Linked DNA regions of Coturnix japonica. The protein of the gene in region 2 interacts with the protein of the main gene of each other region in a pairwise test. Links are inferred from orthologs where the notes say so. Each region holds a gene or a part of one and is shown on either strand. Other genes may lie near its edges.

The links. The genes of interacting proteins can lie anywhere in the genome.
Region 1: the proteins of NDRG4 (region 2) and REEP6 interact in binary tests that used the Homo sapiens proteins (3 or more experiments, as listed by UniProt). The two-hybrid records come from large-scale screens. The link is inferred for Coturnix japonica from reciprocal best matches to the Homo sapiens genes NDRG4 and REEP6.

Annotation. Positions count from the first base shown.
Region 1 is NC_029543.1:2,273,240-2,276,988, forward strand, and holds the start of REEP6 (receptor expression-enhancing protein 6), read right to left. Parts: upstream 2,632-3,749; coding exon 2,517-2,631; intron 896-2,516; coding exon 802-895; intron 680-801; coding exon 541-679; intron 390-540; coding exon 221-389; intron 85-220; coding exon 1-84. Other genes in the region: PCSK4 (proprotein convertase subtilisin/kexin type 4), read left to right, coding at 2,630-2,947, 3,279-3,383, 3,463-3,558, 3,685-3,749. UniProt on the Homo sapiens protein: Required for correct function and survival of retinal photoreceptors. Required for retinal development.
Region 2 is NC_029526.1:2,093,120-2,095,749, reverse strand, and holds part of NDRG4 (protein NDRG4), read right to left. Parts: intron 2,376-2,630; coding exon 2,272-2,375; intron 2,100-2,271; coding exon 2,043-2,099; intron 1,963-2,042; coding exon 1,911-1,962; intron 1,753-1,910; coding exon 1,705-1,752; intron 1,511-1,704; coding exon 1,475-1,510; intron 1,333-1,474; coding exon 1,281-1,332; intron 892-1,280; coding exon 853-891; intron 295-852; coding exon 140-294; 3' UTR 1-139. UniProt on the Homo sapiens protein: Contributes to the maintenance of intracerebral BDNF levels within the normal range, which is necessary for the preservation of spatial learning and the resistance to neuronal cell death caused by ischemic stress.

The sequences.
Region 1 (3,749 bases), on a different chromosome or scaffold from region 2:
TATGGCTGTTACATACAGACACGCTGAGCTGCGGGGTGACTTGGGCAGCCAGCCGGGCTCTGCTGCTGAGCAGAGTGTGTAGAACTGCTCCAGGAGGCGTAGGAAGAAGAAAGATAAAGAGAAGGGCCGGGCTGCCATCACTGTGGGGATATGGGGTGGGATACAGGAGGGGTGTGGGGCACTGAGAGCTGCCCCATGATGAGGGTTGGACCCACGTTACCTTCTCTAGTGATGGCAGAGGCTGCATCCAGTGCTTTGGTGCTGAGGTCGCTGAGCACCGAGTCCACAGCACGGTGGTGTTTGAGGAAGCAGGGTCGGATGATGCTGTGATAAAGCACTTGGGAGCCATTCCAGGACACTGGGGCCATGCACCACACCAGGAACAGGCACTATAGGGGAAGAGATGCTGCAGAGCTGGATTGTATGGGCATCCCAGTACTGCCAAAGGTGCCCAGAGGAAGCCCCAGAGCTCAATACATGAACCACAAGAGCTCAGCCATCAAAGGGGGGGTCTCCCCTGTGCCCCCATGAAGTCGTTACCTTCCCAGCATAATAAAAGGGGAACCAGTAGAGGAAAATGTCAGAGAAGAACTCGGCTATGCTGAAGACACCGTACACCACCCAGTATGTGAGCCACGTGGTGTCATCCTCCTTGCTGGAGCTCTCGATGGCTTTGATGCTATGGGATGGAGGACATCAATTACTGGTTTGTTCCCATATCTCCAGGCCTGGCAATGAGCCCCATAACAACTCCCCAGTGTTTCAGGAGTGACCATCCAGAGCTGTAGGGTCAGTACTTACGAGACATATGCAGGGTAGGCAAAGCCAATGAGGTTGCAGACCAATGAGGCACCGTAGCCAAACACCAGGTACAGCCCCACGAAAGCCAAGGAGCCTGCAGGATAGAGCCAAGAGTTCAGCCACCCCAATGGTGTCTCAGCTCCTGCTTAGCAGCAGCTTAAGCACCTTATCCTACAGCAGGGCAAGAGAGCTGGGACTTAGCCTGTCTGTGGCAGTGAATCAGAGGGAAGGGGCACAGAGGACACAGGGCTCATCCCTGTGCTGCTCACAGCAGCAGATCTGCTCCATGCTCTGTGCTCATATGGGCACCTCTGGGCTTTGCAAAGGGAGCTGGGCGCTGTTCCCAGCTGGTGGGAGCAGTTACAGCTTCCCCCTCCAAGGGAAATAAGCAGGCAGGTTCAGGCAGCTCCGGGTTTCATTCCCTAAAGAGCCTTAGAATGGATTGCACAGGCTAAGTTTAGCCCCGGAGAAATTTATGTAAGAGCAAAACACAAAGGAGAGGCTCAGCTTTGAACACAGAGGAGCCTTGTGTGAAGGAGGGCAGGAAGGAGACACATCCCGGGGTCCTAAACCCACAATGTGAACACAGGAGGAGGAGGAAGGGATTCTGTGTCCTATGGGTCCTGATCAGGCTGGTGGAGGAGCTGCTCCAAGGCTCCCACACCCAGAGCCCCATCTCTGCCTCCCATACAGGACAGGAGGTCAGTGAAGCCTCATCTCTGCAGCACTGAATGGAGAGCTTGGCAAAGGTTTATCCCCATCCACAAGCAGATGTGGCACAGAGGGGATGCTGTCCTCCTCCTTGGTGCCCTTTACCCTTTACAGAGGCAGCTGTTGGGTCTGTGGCTGCTTTATAAGATACCGAGCAGCCCCTTCTGGGCTGAGGGATTGCTGCAGGGTGGGGGGGAAGGGAGGAAGAAACCCGATATTTGTTGTTGAGCATCAGCTTCTCCTTTCCAGACATCGGAGCTGAGCTGCAGGAACAACAACTCTGCTCTATCCCTGTCACCCACAGCCCAAAGTGCAACCAGAGCCCCAGAACCAGCGCTCCAAACACGTGTCAGATCCCAGCAGAGCAACCAAAGCTCTATAGGAGCCGTGGGGCCAGGAATCAGGCTGGGGGCACAGCAGGGAAACCCAGACCCCCCCCCCCCCCATAAGGAGGTTCCATATGGCAACGTGGAGGCAGATGGCAAGTCATAAACGCAGCCAAGGCACAGAAATGGCCAAGGTTGAGGTGACAGCCTCACCGAGGGGGTCAAACGGTGCCGGGATCGGCTCCGTGGGGAGATATCACTTGTTTCTCGTTAATGAACAAACAGCAGCTGGTTAACGAACAGACCTCTGCCCTCCTGCTGGGGGTTGGGGGCTTGGTTCCATGCTACAGCCAGGCTTCCATAGGGCAGGGGGATGTGGGGAGCAACACTGGGCAGGGCAGGGCTCTGTGAAGCCCACCATGTGGGGCTGGGATCGAAGGGGGGGAAGAGGAAGACACCCCCTCCCCTAAATAACCAACGGCTCCCCTGGGCAGCTTCCTCCCTTCCCCAGGGTGGGCAGTGTGGGGCTGTCAGCGCAGCACGGGGCTGGGGGGGGACCCGGAATAGGGGGAGGGGGCTGAAGGGGACCCGGAATAAGGGGAGGGGGCTGGGGTGGACCCGGAATAGGGGAAGGGGGCTGAAGGGGAAGGGGTCCACGCGGTGGGGCTGCGGGCTCACCTGTAGCCAGGTAAAACCGGCGGACACCGGTCCGGGCTTCCAGGCGGCCCAAGAGGTCGGAGATCGGTCCGGGTCGGTCGAGGAAGCGCTGCAGGCGCTGCTGGACGGTCCCCATGGCTGCGGGCCCCGCTCGGCCCTATGCGGTCCCGGTTCTGTGCGGGGCGGAGCGGGGAGGGACGGGCAGGTGGCGTCTCCAGCTCTATGGTAACGCACGCAGAGCGCAGGGCATGGCGACACCGCACGGCATAGGGGGGGCGTGGGGGCTGGGGGTGTTATTGGGTGTGGGGCTGGGGGTGGGTTTGGGGCTCACAGCGGGTCCGCACGACGCTCCGAGCAGCGTTTATCTGAGCAGCTGGGCTGTGTTGGTCGCGGAGGGGCAGAGGGATGCGGGGCTGTTGGCACAGCGGTACGGGCTGATCTGCGTGGGGCAGGTGAGGTCCGACCCGCTGTAGGGCTGTGTATGGGGTATATGGGGTCCTATAGGGCTGCACAGCTACCTGCTACAAGCATAGGTAGGAGAGGGAGCCCGTGCATGGTGCAGAGCAGCCCCTTTTCCAGCACCATCGTGGTGCAGGGAGCCTGCTTTGGCAGGGGAATGCACTCAATGACCTCTAGAAGTCCCTCCCAGCCCCTACAGTCACTCCATGATCCCAAAGCATCCTTCCCACCCTGCAGCCCAGCAGACTTTGAACTGGCATCCCCCCCCCCCCATTTCTTTCTGCCCATCTCCATGCAGCCCCCTGAGCTCAGCCCTCACTGCAGGTGCTGGATGGAGAGCCCTACTATCACTTCCAACACCGTGGCTCCAGGCAGACATCCCTGAGCAGGCACTGGGGCTGGAGCCTGAGGCTGAGCAGGGAACCACAGGTAGGGGCTGGGCTGCACATTAGACCAGGGCACCCTTATGGGAACACACATAGTGCCAACAACGCTGCTTCCCACCCAGGTTCTTTGGTTTGAGCAGCAAACAGTGAAGATCAGAGCCAAGAGGAGCATCAACGTGGTGCCCACAGACCCTTGGTTCCCCAAGCAGTGGTACATGGTGAGATGGTGCTGCTCTCCCATCTAATCCCAATGTCCTCAATCACCTGCCCTGAGCATAAGCAGGACTAATGCCAGCAGTGATGAGGCAGCAGGATGCACTGATCCATCCCAATCCCTTGTCCAGAACAACGACATCAGCCCTGATCTCAACATCCTCTCTGCTTGGAGCAAAGGCTTCACCGGCCGAGG
Region 2 (2,630 bases):
GGCCAACAGCAAAGAAAATTAATCAACCCCAGGGGAGCGAGAGCACTGGCAGAGGTCGTCCGCGGGGCGGGTGGGTGCTGGCGGGATGCTGACGGATGGGAAATGGCTCTGGAGGAAACGGTGGTGGCAGCCGTGGGCCTCAGCACGATACCTCCATGGTGTGGTTGATCTGCCCCATGGCCTCGCTGCTCTCCGAGTGGGTACAGGCACGTGGTCGGGCACCTTCCACCGAACTGGCGCTGGTGAGCGAGGCTGTACGGGAGCGTGCCAGGCGGGTCATGCTGGCGGACGGCACTGCAAGGGCACAGAGAGGGGGGCTGGGTGCTCGGCCAGGAGGGGCTGGGCCGACACTGCCTAATGCAAGCAAAGCTGCTGGCCTGGAGCTGGCCCCACTCCCCAAGGCAGATGGCCCCAGGCACAAGCTTGCAGCATGCAGTGCCACAACACGAGCAGCTCCGTGCTGGCAGAGGATGCGGTGCCCCAGCCAATCCCCTGGGCAGTGAGGCAGTGGGAAGCCCCAGCCACCGTGCTCCAGGGGGTGTGAGTGGGGATGGGAGCGTTCCCTGCTCCCCAGGGTGAAGGTGGACCTTCCTCCAGCATAATGCACCGCGGGCACAGCTCCTGTTGTGTGGAAGAGCACGCGGTGGGCATGCTGCCTGCATGGGGACACTTGTCTGAACGCCAATGCTCAGCCCGCAGCCCTGGCTCAGGGTGGGGGCAGCCCAACGCTTTGGGCAAAGCAGAGCAGGGCAGAAGGCACCGCTGGGGAAGGGCAGCCCCATGCCCAGGCTGCTCCCAAAGGCACCCAGCAGTGGCAGGGCTCAGCGCCAGGAGGGCACCATGCAGCGGTACCTGCACCTCCACTCAGCCTCCGATCCTTCAGGTGGGCGACTGGCGGGAGCAGGAGGAGGAGGAGGGCAGAGAGAGAACATCAGCTGCAGCGGGGGCTGCACAGGGACACAGGGCTCCTCCTGACCCATGTGCGTGCACACATCTGTGTGGGTGCACACGGACCCGCACACACACACACACACACACACACAGTCCTCTTACACACACAGCCTGTTCACCCCACACCCCAAACACATGGATGGGCACCTTGTACACACACAGCACTAGGGACACATTTACAGCCCTCCTTCAGGATGGGCACACGCATGTGCCAGGCTGCTCTGTGGCACACACACACACACACACACACGCACACACACACACACACACGCACACACACACACACACACGCACACCCAGGCAGCCCCATGCCCAGCCCTGGCACTCACTGTAGCCCATGCCTTGCAGGAAGTACTTGAAGGCTTCGGTCAGCTTGCCGGGCTGCAGGGAGAGAGAGAAGGAGCTGCACAGCCCCACACCAGCACCAGGACCCCCGTGGGACTCCTGTGCCCACATCAGCCCATCCCTTTATGGACAGGGGCCGCACCAGGCCATGTCTCAGGGGCTGATGGAGGACACTCACCTGTGTCACCTGGGGCAGCCCACCAGAATCTGCCATCTGCACAGAGAAGGTCCCGGTTAGTTCGAGGGACGCCTTTTCCCCCACCCCAAACCCTGGTGCCCACTGGCAGGATCCTACTGCCAGGTCACCCTGCTCACTCCAGTCCCATATGGACCTCGGGCTGGGAGACAAGGACAGCCTATTGCTGCAGGGCAGTGAGGGCCGCACTGCTCCCCCCATCACCCACTTACCTTCAGAAAAGTGGTGTTTGTGGGATCCAGCTTGGAATTACACTCCACCTGTGGGTGAGAGGGACAAGAACTAGCACCATGGGGTGTCCCACGTCTGGCAGAAGCTGCCCACAGGTACCACCTTTGGTCCCAGCACTGGCACATCCCACCCCAGGCAACCACATGTGCCCATGTGCCTGCAAGCATGGATGCCTACAATCACTCACCACACCCTCTTCAGCGGGAGCGTTGTCTCCCACCACCAACATCACAGGGCAGCTGGAAATGAGAGAAGGAACGGGCACAGTCAGGGCTCGGGCTGGGCTCCTTGCCCTGGGCGGTGCCTGTGCAGCTCTTACCGCAGTGTCTTGGCGTTGGGCACAGTGCCGGGCCGGTTGATGTCGAGATCCCTGCGGCTGCAGGAGGAGAGAGAACCAGTGTGAGCATGGAGGCAGGCACAGAGCTGGGGTGTGCCCAGAGAACGGCCCTGTGGAGCCCTGGTGTCCCAGCACACTGTGATCCCCCAGCACACTGCTCCCCTCCCTTCACTCCCAGCTGAAGATGGCAGTGCTGCTGGGTGCTGCTCACCTGTTGTACATGTTGAGGAAGAGCTGGAGGTTGAACTGGTTCACCACGCTGCCAATCTGCTGCCTGTAACTCTGCACCAGCTCCGTGTTGTTCACCAGCTCCTCCTGCAGCGGCAGGAGACAGAAATCAGGGCCAGGGCCACCAGGTGCCCATGCCTTGCCCGCTGACAGCAGAGCAGAAGGATGAAGGCATGAGTCTCACCCAGCACCGGGTAGGGCTGAGCCCCACATCAGGCAGGAGGGATTCAGGCAGGGCTTTGCCAAGCCCATCCCCAGCACCACAGCACCCAGCACTTGGGGGTAGGGCACAGCCAGGCTGGGATGCTGTGGGGACAGGCGCAGGCAGAACGCAGGGCAGGC